Linked DNA regions of Cricetulus griseus. The protein of the gene in region 1 interacts with the protein of each later gene in a pairwise test. Links are inferred from orthologs where the notes say so. Each region holds a gene or a part of one and is shown in the gene's direction. Other genes may lie near its edges.

Region 1 (8,158 bases):
CCCCACAGTGAATTTTTTTATTACTCACCTTAAGAGACCCTAATATATTTCTGTCTGACTTTTTATTTTAAGCTCTTTGTCAGCCAGGGCTGTGGTTTATTCAAATGTGTGTCTTCATGTTCAAATAAGCCAACAGCAAATGTTACTAAATGAATCAATTTAGACACCTCTGGCCAGTCTCTGAGCAGTTCCACTCAGGTGTTTAAAGATTATTGCAGTTGCTGTTCAGGAAATAAAGACTCAAGGTCAGTGTGAGCACTCAGGACCCAGTTGTCAGACTTCTATCTATATAAGCTATATACCTCAAGGATCCTCACAGCCCCACACTACAAAGCCAAGGCAAGATAGTGCAAGCTGTAAACAAGGCAGCAGACCCTTTGCCAAAAACTTGAGGCCATAAACTCTCCAGGAACCACCTTGGTTTTACATCAGTGACATGTTATTTCATCAGAGCAAGGAGGATCCCTTTAAACTGCCTGACTGTAACATTAATTAGCGTACAATTATTTTACACCTTAAGACATAAAGTATGTTCATGCATTTTATGTGTGAAATAAGAAACAAAATTCAATATGGTTTTTAAAAACGAGTCCTAGCTATTACTGCTATGTTTAAAGCTGCTGTGAAAACATACACAGGGATGAACTGTATAATAATAAGATAGCATAAGTCTGTTTATTTCCACTTGAGTTGCTTGTGTTTCATTTTGTTAAATCATCCTGTTATAAATCTAGAGACTTTAACTAGCTCGGTGGTAGAGTATTTGCCCAGCATGCATGAAGCCCTGGGTTCAAAACTTAGCACCACAAATAAATAAATGAATTTAGGGAGTTCATTTTTTTTCTTCACATTTTCTTTCTTTCTTTCTTTTTTTTTTTTTTTTTTTTTTTTTTTGAGACAGGGTCTGTCTACATAGTTATGGCTGTCCTGGAACTCACTATATAGACCAGGCTACTTGCCTCTGCCTCCTGACTGCTAGGATTAAAGGCATACATATGCATCACTATTCCTGGCCTCTTTTATTATTTATTTAGTTCTTTCTTTCCTTCCTTCCTTCCTTCCTTCCTACTTCCAGACAAGGGTTCTCTGTGTAACAGCCCTGCCTGCCCTGGAACTCACTTTGTAGACCAGGCTGGCCTCAAACTCACATAGATCTGTCTGCCTCTGCCTCCTTAGTGTTGGAATTAAAGGTGTGTGCCACCACACATGGCTTTATTTTAGGTTTTTAAGATAGGGTTTCTCAGTGTAGCCCTGGCTGTCCTGGAACTCATTCTGTAGACCAGGTTGGCCCAAAACTTAGAGATCTGCCTGCTTCTGCTGGGATTAAAGGTGTGAGTCGCCATGCCCAGCCCATTTCATTTAAAAATACGTATTTTTTTATTTTATTATGTGGTTGTTTGTGTCCACGTAGGGTCTATGCTTACGTGAGTGCAGGTGGCCTTGGAGGCCAGAAGGGGGCAGCAGATCCCGTGGAGCAGTGCATGTTCTTAGCACTGAGCCATTTTTTCAGCTCCGTAACTTCCACTTTTATATTAGATGTCAACATTATCATTTAATGAAAATACTAGTATCGTCATTATCTGTTTTAATGTATAAGAACTAAATGACTAAGAGAACCTAGCCCCACAATTAGTAACTATGTGACACCGGGCAAGATGTTTTCCCTCCCTCCCCATCTCTCAACTTTCTCTCTGTAATATGTTAACAATTACTGTAATCATGCCTAGTGTTTTGTGTTGTAAACCTCTGTAGAGAGCAGGGGAGATGGGGCAGCAGTTAAGAGCACATAGCACCCTTCTAGAGGACCCTAGTGGATTCTCAGCGCCCACTTCTAGCAGCTCACATGCACCTGTAATTCCAGCTCCACGGTATCTAATGTCCCCTCTGGCCCCTGTGGGCACCTGCACTCCTGTATACATAAAGCCGGACACCATACACGTAATTTAAAAAATGAAGCAAATCTTTGAAAATAAAAAAGATCAGTAGAGAAGTTAGAACACATTTTACATACCACTGTAAAATTGTCACTAGCTTGTTTTTCAAAAATGAAACTGGAAAATAGCCAGTCTTGTGTCCACCGCTCGTCCTTTGGCGTTTTCCACTCGGAAGACTTAACCTAGGATTCGCGGCCTTTCTTTTCACTACGCCCATCTTCACCTCTATCCCAAACCTGTAGCCTGGGTTTAAGAAAACACTGAGCTCTGGGGAAGAGAATTAGCCTCTCGGCATTTTGAACTTTCCATGCAAGAAAATGAAGGATTACTCTTTCCTCCCCGCTTTAACCCTTCTCATACTGGAGTTACTCATTTGGGACCCCGAGGGTGGAGTCAGTCCCGCCCCCTGGTGCAGCAGGGAAGATAGATGCCGAGCCACCTGTCAGAGGGCTGTGGGCGGGGGCCGGGTCAGCGAGGCCCGCAGAACCGAAGGGAGAGCGCCGTTGAGCGCACGCTCAGAGCAGACAGCGGGAAGCCGGCAGGACCGACAGTCTTAGAAGACAGTGGGGTTGACCGCCAAAGGCAGGGAAAGGTGGTCAAGGAAACCCGCCAGGCCAAGAACGCGAGGTGACAGCAAGAAGGCGAGTCCAGGGCTAGCAGCTGCCGAAGCAGCCTTCCGCCCTATGCGCGGACGCGGAGCGGGTGGCCGAGTGAGGACGCGCCGGGCGGGCACTGTGCGCCGGCCCCGCTGGGGCGCAGGGGTGCCATGTCCCGCGAGCGGCCTCCGCGCACCGACATCCCTCGCAACCTGAGCTTTATAGCAGCGCTGACCGAACGTGCCTACTACCGCAGCCAGCGGCCCAGCCTCGAGGAGGAGTCGGAGGAGGAGCCGGGGGAGGGCGGGACCCGGCCCGGCGCCCGCTCGCGGGCTCACGTTCCGGGTCGGGGGCGCAGGGCCCGCTCTGCGCCCGCAGGTGGCGGCGGGGCGCGGGCAGCCCGCAGCCGCAGCCCTGACACTCGCAAGAGAGTGCGTTTCGCTGACGCGCTGGGGCTAGAGCTGGTCGTGGTCCGCCGCTTCCGCCCGGGGGAGCCGCCCCGGGTGCCCCGCCACGTGCAGGTGCAACTGCAGAGGGACGCCCTGCGCCACTTCGCGCCGTGCCCGCCGCGCGCCCGCGGCCTCCAGGTAGGCGCCCCGCCCCCGTCCCCGGGACCTCGGCCTCCGCGCTCCAAGCCCTCCTCTGACCCGCCTCCCCGCCCTCTCTCCTCAGGAGGCGCGCGTGGCCCTGGAGCCCGCCCTGGAGCCCGGCTTCGCCGCCCGCCTGCAGGCGCAGCGCATCTGCCTGGAGCGCGCCGACGCGGGCCCGCTGGGCGTGGCCGGGAGCGCGCGCGTGCTGGACCTGGCCTACGAGAAGCGCGTGAGCGTGCGCTGGAGCGCGGACGGCTGGCGCAGCCTGCGGGAGTCGCCCGCCGCCTACGCCGGCCCTGCCCCGGCCCCGCCGCGGGCTGACCGCTTCTCCTTCCGCCTGCCGGCGCCTCCGGTCGGCGGCGCCCTGCTCTTCGCCCTGCGCTACCGCGTGACCGGCCGCGAGTTCTGGGACAACAACGGTGGCCGGGACTACGCGCTGCTTGGGCCCGAGCACCCTGGTGGTGCCGGAGCCGCGGAGCCCCAGGGCTGGATCCATTTTATTTGAACTAGGCTCCTGCTGGCCACAGCAGGGACAAAACAGTGGCACCCAGGCGTGGGGGGAGACTGTGGCGCCAGGAACCCGGGAACCACAATTGGCAGATGGGTGGAGGGCGGTCCCAGAGAGTCAAGTCGAGGTGGCTGGAAACCGTCTGTGAAACTCAAGAGATTAGGGTGGAAAATGGCAGGTAGGTGTAAGCGGAAGGAACTCGAGATAAGAGGCCCAGAAGGGCTCTGGAAAGTGAAGCCTCCTTGGGCTAGGAAGCCCAGTGAAGTCATTCGGTTTGCTTCCCTCTCACTGGCCCTACCACCTCAGGTCCCCGTGCCCTGCCCACCCTAGCTTTATCTGAGCCGAAATTGCCTTGCTTAACCCCAGGAATTTGACCATTGCCCCTGGGCCCTGGCAGTGTGACAGCATTCCCTTGACTCTCAGCAGTTCCTGGCTTCAGTCTTCAAGGAAACATGGGAGAGAGTCCTTCAGCCACGGGGCGAGCCTTGGTGGCATCTGCAGATGGTGGCAAAACCAACTCCAAGCCTGCCCTTGTAGTCAAATAATGGGGCATCTAAGGGGTTTGCATAATCAGGCTTCCAGAAAAATGAATGCCAGCCTTACTTTTCTGGGTGCCTCTTAAAACCTTGAAGCACTTTGTGGACTGTCTGCGGAGGGACAGTGAATCATGAAAATCACTACTGATTTATTCTTTGTGCCTCTGAAAGAAGAGGAAACCACCAAGTATCTGTATGATTGAGCAGGTTATTTTATCTTTTTGGACTCCAGGTTCCTCTGTGAGAAATTGGATTTGAGTTAGGTGGTCCCTTAAGGTTCCTTTTTTTTTTTTTTTCTGGACAGGGTCTCTAGCCCAGGGTCTCCTGCCCTAGCCCCTGCTGTGCTGGGGTTATTGGTGTGAGCCACTATGTTTTTAGGGCTACATTTTGGTGTCTCATGATCTGTTCATGGCACAGTATAGGTTAGAAACTGTATTCTCCAATCTAGTGCTACAATTAAAGCCCACAGGGCAAGCCAGGTGTTGTGACACACACAGGGAGACTGTTGAGTTTGAGGCCAGCCAGCTAATATGATTGATTATTTAATCTATCCTGGGCTACATGAGACTGTCTCAGAAAATTAAAAGCAGCAGCAAGGCTTACCTAGCACAGTGAGTCTGTGGTTGGAGATGAGGATAGTCTCCCCCACACACACACCACTTTTTGGGAGTGGGGCACAGATGATCCAGGATACAGCCCATAAGCAGCCCATAGCCTCAGTGTGTTCCACGCCACAGCTCACCCTGTGCCATTTGCTCTTAACTTCCACAGACTTAGAGCCCCAGTCCCGTGAGAAAACGGAGACCAGTATTACTGTTAGGGAAAGTGATGCATGGTAGCCCCAGAATGGAACAGTTGGAACTCTGGAGGTCATGGGTATAAGAAATAGAAAACAAAAAATGAAGGCAGAGGTGACAGTTTGATCCATATCCAAGTCAATGAAATGGAGAACCTGGAGCCTAATGCAATGCCCACATTCACACCTCATGCCCTTCCTAGGGAGGCTCCAGGTGAGAGTTGGGTTTTGCTGGTTGTTTTTCCTTTCCTTGTCTTTCCCTTTCCCTTCTTTCTTTTTTAAGATTTATTCATTTATTGTGTATGCAGTGTTCTGCCTGCATGTTTGCTTACAGGCCAGAAGAGGTCACCAGATCTCATTACAGATGGTTGTGAGCCACCATGTAGTTGCTGGGAATTGAACTCGGGACCTCTGGAAGAGCAGCCAGTGCTCTTAACCTCTGAGCCATCTCTCCAGCCCCCTCACTTGTTTCTTTGAACATGTAGGACTTTTGCCTTTATTTCCACTCTTCACCCTTGTTGGTCTCTACGGGGCATCCCCTTTCCCTTGAGAAATCCCTGTCCACAGCCAGTTTCTCACTCCACCTCTTCCCTGCCAGGTACCCACACATCATTCAGAATTCAGTTTGGGGCTTGTCCCTTTGCCCCTGCAGTCATTCATCAAACATTCACATCTAAGCATCTTCTGACCTTGTACAGAAAACAGTTTGATGTTTCCTGGGGATCACCTTCAGGTTCAGCAAAGTCGCAGGAGGCACTGTACTGGAAACCACCAAACTCTGGTCACTCTCTAATCTTCAACAAGGAACCCAGGGAGACTGGGTGGAGGTTCCATTGTGGTGGCATCATTCCTAGTGTGTGTGTGTGTGTGTGTGTGTGTGTGTGTGTGTGTGTGTGTGTGACTGTTACTTCTTAACAGATCCTATTTAACTTGTGTGCTAAATGTGTGACATGCATGTTTAAAACAGCACTGTGACTTGAGCATTATCTCTTTTAGAAATAAGTCCAGACTCAGTAATTTGTTCAAGAGTATGGGATTGTGAGCCCAGGAGGTTCCCATAGTCTGTGTGGGTAATCATGGTGGTATGTATTTTTCTTTGATTAAGAACAAAATTAAAAACTTTGCTATATATCCTCTATCATAGGGAAAGACCATCATTCATTATGCTGTGCCTTCCTGTCCTCCAAGGGGCCCAGACTTTTACCCCACCTTCTCCTGTGCCAGCATTCCAGTTCTACAGGGTCAGAAAGGCACTAGCCCATGAGCCTGCTAGAGAACTCGGGAACCAATGTAAATGCCAGCTTTCCATACACTGGGTTCTCTCCTGGCTCTGGCCAACCCGCTATACCACCTGGCGTGGCATCTTTCCTTCCTCTCCCTCCATTATCCTTGACTAGGTACATTATTTATTTAGGTTTTTTGAGACAGGGTTTCTCTGTGTCTTGGAGCCTGTCCTAGAACTCGCTCTGTAGTCCAGGCTCTGTAGTCTAGGCTGGCCTCAAACTCAGAGATCCCCCTGCCTGCTGGGACTAAAGACATGTACCACCACTGCCCAGATTTTTTTTTTTCTTGCATGACCAGGTAAACTCTGATGTTCCTTGAGAAAGGTTCCTGGCTTAGGACAACTGCTAGGTGGTCTTTGCTGGGCTTCCTCTCTGGAACCCCTGGTATTATCAATTAGGTAAATGTGAGCTTGGGAGGGGACATCTGGATGAATAGGAGTCTTCTGGGTTCTTTGCTTTGGTTGTTTTTTATTTGTTTTTGTTTTGTTTTGTTTGAGACAGGGTTTCTCTGTGTAACACCCATAGCTGTCCTGGAACTGACTCTGTAGAGTAGGCTGGCTTCAAACTCACAGAGATCCACCAGCCTCTGCCTCCTAAGTGCTGGGATTAATGGTGTGCGCCACCAACACCCAGCATTTTCTGGTTCTTTACTGAGCTGCTACACACTTAAGAATAAGTGGATACTTTTCTCTAGTCCCCAAGGTTGGATGACCTGGACTGAGCTACCTCCTTGTGCACACAAATAATAGGTGCCTCATTCTTGGAACCCACAACCAACTAAGCTATCACTGTACCACAAACCTTGTAAAACGGGGGAGAGGGGCTATTATGTGTTGTCTTGTGTGTTATTTGTGTGCCTAGTCCCTTTGAGATTCCCAAAAGACTTTCCTGTTCAGATGTCGCTTTCCTGGTACATGAGTTCAAGATTCTCCCTGTCTCTGGCATTTCCTTACCTTGTAAGTGGACTAGTGTAGCAAAATCATAAATTCTACCACCAAAAAAAAGTGAGACTCCTTTCTTTGTTGACACCGTTCTTTCCAAGATTCACCTACACTTCTTGCAGTGCCAGTAAGCAAAGAGGAGTGTGCCCAGGGAGAGCAGAGCTACAGCCGTCTACTCCCACCCCCTTGCTGTCTTAGTCCAGCCAGACATGGGAAATAGTTATTAGTATTTGCTCAGATTAAGGTGCTCTGGTGGAGACTCTCTCTGTGGTTCCCATGCACTGGAAAGTGCCACAAGAGAACACTACTGTCCTTGACGAATCCCAGCAGAAATACCAGCAAAGTCCCTTTGACTTCAGAAAGCATCCTACACCTACCTGTCTGGTAGCTCTCCTTACCATAGCCTGAAAGGCCAGCTCCCAGATCTGCTCCAGGGTCGCAAGAGTAAACCTCAGAGTAGTGAGGGCTTAGGAAAATTCTTACCTATCTGAGGGTTAGACTTTTTCTGAGGGGAAAAATAAGAAAACACAGACACTTTCTGGTGATAACTTACTTCATCTTGAAAAATTCTCTCTGAAAAATCTCTCTTCACAGCTTCCTAATTAGCTCTGTAACCCTTCTCATATCTCTTTCTACACCCTTCTCTCCCACAGCCAAACTCTGAATGATAGGTTATATGTTACGTTTTCAGGGCCTGACCCATTCTCATAACACAAGATAAGTCACAGAGTTTCTCCTAGAGGGGTCACATTGGCAGGCCAGTGAGTAACCCGTGGCCATGGACATAGCTCTTTCCCAAACAGAAAATGACACTGGAATTCAATACTTGAACAATAATAGTTAATTAGCTAAACCTTGAATGGTAGGGAGTACAAGCAGAAAGTCCATTTATGTCTACTAAAGTTACTTTGAGCTCTGACCTTGAGTTAGCAAAACACCTGGGAAAATGACTTCATGTAGGGGCAACTAGTTTG
Region 2 (6,886 bases), on another chromosome or scaffold:
TTTATTCTGTCTACATCTGTTCTACACCCGACTTAAAATTGGCCCTGCAGCTTCTCCTGCCATCTCAACAAACATTTAAACATGAGATAAAAACATGGCAGGTCGGATTAGCCCAAAGGGACAGTATGCCACAAGGGAAAGTCACTAGGAACAAAAAAGCAAGCGTCCTTATCCTTGTTCTAGTCTTTTCCATCTCACAACCTGCATAGCCTCTAACTGTACTAGTACCTCCTGTTTCAGCCATCAGCCCCTTCTTTTCTGCCCCCCCCCCACCGATTATTCACGATAACAGACTTGGACAAGTCACCATCGTCTTTATTTTCCTCATTTGTAAAATGGGAATAATAATACCCACCTCATCACCCTCCCTGTGTTATATAATGTTGGCATAGTATCCCTATCAGATATAATTAATGAGCTAACCATACCGTATCTAGCACATAACAAGCTCTTGAGAACATTTTTTTAAGTTATTTTCTTGGTAAAGTAATTTTAATTATTAGTAAATAAGCCACTTCATTGCTACTACAACTAAACAGATTGTCTTTGGTCCATACATATCATGAGCTTGTTTAGGACTGAAATAATCCCTCAGTCTAGACTGCTTACCCACGAAAAGACTTGCATTCCACTTATGATAGTTCACGTTTTTTGTTTTTTGTTTTTTGTTTTTGTTTTTGTTTTTAATACACTGCTTCTTCGTTGCTGTGTAACTCTTGGTTGACCTGGAGCTTTGACTGTTTGTGTTGTATGCACACGTGGTAAGACAGTATAAGAACTCTTGAAAATTGGAAACTGACCAGATAACCAGAGAGGCAAGAAGCTAAATTTCTGCCACATCCATGGGAGCCAAGGACATGTCTGCCTGGTGTGGTTTTGCCCTCCCTAGTTCCAGAAGCTTTCCTTTCTCCCTTTTTCGAAGGTGACAGGTCAAGCTGATGGTCTCTCCAAAGGCCCCTGTGTCAGGGGCTGTCAGTGGAAAACCTAAATGGAAAAGTCAGACTCAGCTAATGGCAACATGCTTGCAGTATCTGAAAATACACCTGGGCTCATTGTCCACAAAAACTTCCCGACTGGTGAAGGGTCACAACCACAACATAGTGTGGTTTGGCTCAGGCCCTCTAAGCTAGACACACTAAGCTAGGACTGATACAAACACATGTCCAAACCGGCAGTAGTGGCACACACCTTTAATCCCAGCAGTTGGGAGACAGAGGCAGGCAGATCTCGGTGAGTTCAAGGTCAGTCTGGTCTACACAGTGAGTTCCAGGACAGCCAGTGCTGTTACACAGAGAAACCCTGTCTCAAAAAAAGAAAAAAAAAAAAAGAGCCTTAAGAGCTGGGGAAAGCCCTTCATCATATGTGGTTCTTCAAATGCTTGGAGACCCTTTGAGAATGACCCACAGTGCTTCACAAGGGTAACCCCCAGTCTTTTATCCAGAGGCAAGGACCCATTCCCTTGATTACCTATAGAACTTATGCCTAAGGGATGGGACATCTTCCTTACAGCCTCTTAGCGGGGCACGTGGTTTTCATTAACTGAGGAGGGACTGTCTCAGTGAGGCCCAAACCCACACCATCAGACGTTTGCATTGCTAGGGCACACTGTGCTATTCTTCGAGAACAGTGATATCCAGCAAGCATCTGTGATTTTCAGGCACTGCCTGGCAGTTTATGTGCCTTGTAAGATGCAATCCACACCCTGTGTTGTGGTTGGGAACTGTCGCTGGGCTGGAAGTAAACACCAACAGTGAGTACAGGTGGTGTTCTCAGCTGCTGCCCCACCCCCACACTTAGTTTCTATTAACAATTTCTTCAGCAGGCAGACAGCAGCAGCATCCTCTCCCTCTTCAGCTTTCCTGCTCCGTTGTCTGCTCACTCTGATTCTCACTTTCTTCTTCCTCTTTGGCCTGTCTGCCTCTGTGTCTGCTTCTCACAGTGAAACCTTGTGTGTCTGTTTTCCTATCCATCCTAAAGGGCTAGAGGAAGGGAAAAGGTGGGGGAGAGAGGCACATAAATTGAAGCGGCATACCTTCAGACACTTCTCATAGCATTCAGCTAGACATTTACCTCCTGCCAGCAACAGCAAATAGCACTAAAGAAAACAATGGGTCACCTTTGAAAGACCCCAGGAGAGCAAGTGTGAGCACAGTCTCATTAGGAAAGCCCTTACCTATCTATTCTGGGATATCAGACACATTGTATACCCAGCCTGCATGCCACCTGCTGTCAGCCATCCTATTGCTGATATTGTTCTGTCATCCCCCAGATGGATCCTTGCAGAGACCAGTCCAGTCAGGGATCCCCACTTTCATGTTGGGATCCCTCAGGCACAGTCCCACCATGATGATCGGGCCTCAGAAGTTCCATTTCTACCAGCCACAGGGAATGGCCTCTTCCCCTCCACCCATGATGGTGGAGATGGGGTCTAAACCCATTTCCACTGGGGAGCCTGCCCTGACCTGCATCAGCAGAGGCAGCAAGACCAGGATCCATTCAGCATCCAGTTCCTTCATCATGGAAGGCAAAGAAATACCCATCAAGAGTGAGCCACCATCCAAGCCACCTGCGTCTGCCCCACCCTCCATCCTAGTGAAACCAGAAAACTCAAAAAATGGCATCGAAAAGGTAGGAATGGAGTGACATTGGGAGTCTGACTGTTCAGCCTCCTGGTGTTGACTGTGCACTGTCAACATTGCCAACCGCACTGGCAGCCTCCAATAAAATCTTCACACACAGCCGGGAGTTGGTGGTGCACACCTTTAATCTCAGCACTCGGGAGGCAGAGGCAGGTGGATCTCTGTGAGTTCGAGGCCAGCCTGGTCTATAGAGCGAGTGCCAAGATAGGCTCCAAAGCTACACAGAGAAACCCTGTCTCAAAAAACCAAAAAAATAAATCTTCACACACAGCACACCCCACCCCATTCACACCAAGAACACCTTCTCCCTGATAAACATACTCCTCATTCCCTTTATATATGCTTCTTCTGTGATCCAGAAACAGCCTGGAGAAAACATGGTTTGGTTTGAATCACTGCTCTGGTTAGGTGGCTCTGGCCAAAACACTTCACCCTTCTGGGGCTGTGTTTATTCATTCATTACTTACTTATTTGCCTGATCCATAGAAATAGTAATATAGGGTCTAGAGAGATAGCTCAGACATTAAGAGGACTTACTGCTCTTAGTGAGGACATGGCTTCAGTTCCTAGCAACCCCCTGGTGACTCACAACCACCCACGACTCCAGTTCCAGATTTGATGCCTTCCTCTGACCTCTGCAGAGACACTCATGGTGCACATACAGACATGCAAGCAAAACACACCTGTATACATAAAATAAGCCTAAAAATGTTAGGTAAATAATAATAATGGCCATTCATGGCCTTGGAGATGACATTGTGTAAGCTATGTGCAGTATTTACACAGGGCTTGATACATTTTTTTTTTTATCAAATGACAGCAACAACTAAGACAAGGGAGAATTTAAATGACATCAAAGTCACGTGGAATGATAATTCTAACAGCTGACTTATTATGTCATCAATCAGACCTGTTAACATCTGGTCTGGAGATTTTTGTGCTAGAAGACATGGATTTTTCTAAGGTCCTTGAAGCAAGAGAGATGACATTAAGGAATCAGGTGATGTTCATCATAATCCTTCAGTTTACTGAGCATCACCACACTCGCCAATCGTCTTCCCCTCACCACCACCCTCACTACCATCTCACCATCACCCACTCTCTACAAAACGGATGGGATGGAGTTTCCTCCTATTTGTTATGCTTTTACTAACTACTAAATATGCTAACAGACACCCTGCACAGAACTCCATGTGTTCCATCTCATTAAACCCCTATAACAACCCTCTGAACTAGGTATTATTTTCATCATCATTTAGAATGAGGAAGCAGAAGCTTGGGGAGTTAAACACATTGCCCAAAGTCATGCAGCTGACATCTGTATCTGACACAAAAGCCCAGGTTTTTCCTCTAAGCTTGTATGGAAATGCATTTGGAAAAGTTTATGGTGACTGACAGAAAGGTTGGCGTGTTCATTCTAACTTCCAACTTTCATACAATCTAAAGGATCCTACACCCCAGCTGTCCAATATCCCAAGTTATCAGACACAGCCCCCCAACTCTGAAGTCCCAAGATCCTGCTGCAATCAATAAAAATCAGAAAGTAGGGGAAACTAGGAGACAAAGAGGAGAGAATTTCATGGAACAAAGAAGTTCCAGAAGTACCACAGAAAGAACATTTTATTAAGCCCTGAGACAGTGACTGGCTAAAACAAACACCTTCAATTGCCAAGCAAAATACATACCCACCTAGGAGACATGAGAGGAAGAAAAGTGAGATGGGGCTTCTAACAAAGTGGAGACACAGTCTCATACAAAGGAAGCTACTCCTCAGCTCAGCCAGGTGGTGCCAGTATTGATATAGGCCCAGAGTTCCAGATCATAGATTATTTTGGATGTTTGCATTTAAGTTTTATTTTAGTTTTGAGACAGATTTTTCACTATATAGTTCAAACTGGCCTCAAACTCCCAATCCCCCTGTCTCAGCCTCCAAATGCCTATGCTATCACACTTGACTCTGAATCTTCCATATTTTAAAGATACGCATGCAATGCTGGTTGCTCTGTATATTTGTCTTGTGGTCTTGTGTATGGGGAAGTCAGTCAATGCTCAAAGGATGCATGGCAACAGCAGATACTCAGGGAACCAGCTCTATGATGAGCATTTCTAAGGTGATGATAGTGAGCTCAAAGAGGGGGTCATCAGGAGAACTCATGAGAAAGAGCCAGCCTTGAGATAGACCTTAAGGAAATGCAGAGGGAAGAGGTGAAAGGTGAACCTGTATTTTCCACTGCTGACTCTATTTTTCCCAAATTATTCATCCTTATTCTCAAATCCTTCTGCCTCAAGAAAGGTTTGCCTGGCTACCTATTAGATGCTACTCCACTGCCTCAGCAGGTTACTCTTCTCCCATCACAGCACTGACTTTAATTTCTCATTGGACAGTGTGGGTTTGTTTGATCTCTGATCCACAGCACCTCACAGGGTATATTACATAATGCACAGAAGACACAAATGCTTGCTGAATGAACACCACCTAAATGAGGCATTTTGAGTGGTGACAACCGTAGAGAAAGGACACAAATCTTATCAAGGGGTAGAGGGCAGAGTACACATCTCACCCACAGTCCTTTGCTTTCTATTTTACAGCAAGTCAAAACCGTGAGATTTCAGAATTACAGCCCTCCTCCCACCAAACATTATGCCTCCCACCCCACCTCTGGAAAGCACGAACAGCCATCCACCTTGAAGGGGTCTCAGTCTGAAGCAATCCCCTCAGGAGCAGAGATGACCATCCTATTTGCCCACCGAAGTGGCTGCCACTCTGGACAACAGACAGACCTTCGGAGAAAGTCAGCTTTTGGCAAGACCATGCCCCCACTCTCCACCACTTCAGGCTCACAGACCATTTTTACCAGTCAGTGATTCTTTGGATGGCTTTTCTTAGACACAAAAGAGGTGAATAGCATGTAAATACAGTCTGCCTCCACTACAGGCATCCTACTGTTCTTCCAAAGGATTAGACTCCTTCATCTCCAAGCTTAACCTGAAAAAATGGAAAGGCAGAAACTCCTCCCTGGGTTGGTTGGCCTTCTCCATACATATACCCCCAATCCACCCCACCCCTGAGACAGGGTGTAGCCCTGACTGTCCTGGAACTCACTCTATAGACCAAGCTGGCCTTGAACTCACAGAGATCTGCCTGCCTCTGCCTCCCAATTGCTGGAATTAAAGGTGTATGCCACCACCACCCAGCATATTTCTAAACTTACTGATTTGATAGAGTCAAGCCCACTGCTTAAGCCAAAGAATGGGGACAGTGTCAATGCCTGTGCCCTCTGCATGCAGGGTTTGGCCTCTCATCCTATGTGCTCAATGTAAAACATCTCTGTATCCTAGGACAGCCAGAGTATGGCAGCAGTGACATTTTTCTCAGGGACTCTTTGATCCCATTACCATCCCCCTCTCTTTTCATCACACTACAACAGCCTCTGCCATCTTCTGAGGCTGTTGGTTTTCATTCCAACGTCAAGCTCCAGCTGCAAAGGGAGAAATGGGAGGCGAAGATATGGTATGAGATGGACATTTTGAACATTCGGAGAACCCACTAAAACTTAAGGGAGTTAACTTCCTGAGTTCGCTACAAACAAGGTCGTCGAGAATACTGACTACCAAATACCAAAAGATTATCATGTGTTACGCTTCTTGGCCTGTTTCTTCCCATATAATTCTATACAGTAGATAAGCAGGGAGCATAGAGAGGCAGATAAGGGACGTGGATGATATTATAGACTTTTCATCCTTCCCCTCAAAGCTTGAAGGCAACCTTGAATGCTCAGTGAGTTTAGATCTATATTCTGCTTGCATTCCAATATTTTTGTTCTCCTTAGCTCCTAATCATTTGGGCCAGATGACTATAAGACAATAGGGGAAGGCAGGAAGGGGTGCTCTTGGGAAGAGAGCTGTTATCAAAGGAAGTGGACAGAGAAGGCTTGAGAAGAAAAGGGAGATCGGAGGAATCAAGGAATAATCATGCATGCAACAAATACGGAAGAAGGGAAGAATGAACTTCTCCGGGAAGAATATAAAACAGGTGTGGTGGAAGCAGTGCTTACCCCACTGACAGATGAGGAAAACAACGACAGAATTAGCCATGGAGAAAGGGTCAAAACAAAGTGACTCCACGTGGATGGACTGGAGTGAGCAGGTCCAGCCAGGAAGGAGAGCAGCAAATGCAGCTCTAAGAGTCGGGGTCACGTTCTAAGACAGCCCATTAGTTCTCATTAAATGTAATTGTTGTGACTTAA

What was found.
Region 2: the proteins of Homez (region 1) and Sh3rf2 interact in a two-hybrid assay, tested with the Homo sapiens proteins (2 studies listed by BioGRID). The two-hybrid records come from large-scale screens. The link is inferred for Cricetulus griseus from reciprocal best matches to the Homo sapiens genes HOMEZ and SH3RF2.

Annotation. Positions count from the first base shown.
Region 1 is NW_023276807.1:210,069,876-210,078,033, reverse strand, and holds the start of Homez (homeobox and leucine zipper protein Homez), read left to right. Parts: upstream 1-3,625; 5' UTR 3,626-3,799; coding exon 3,800-3,806; exon of another isoform or gene 3,807-6,103; intron 6,104-8,158. Other genes in the region: protein phosphatase 1 regulatory subunit 3E, read left to right, coding at 2,701-3,117, 3,203-3,625. UniProt on the Homo sapiens protein: May function as a transcriptional regulator.
Region 2 is NC_048595.1:195,752,288-195,759,173, reverse strand, and holds part of Sh3rf2 (E3 ubiquitin-protein ligase SH3RF2), read left to right. Parts: intron 1-2,269; coding exon 2,270-2,628; intron 2,629-5,228; coding exon 5,229-5,504; 3' UTR 5,505-6,886. UniProt on the Homo sapiens protein: Has E3 ubiquitin-protein ligase activity. Acts as an anti-apoptotic regulator of the JNK pathway by ubiquitinating and promoting the degradation of SH3RF1, a scaffold protein that is required for pro-apoptotic JNK activation.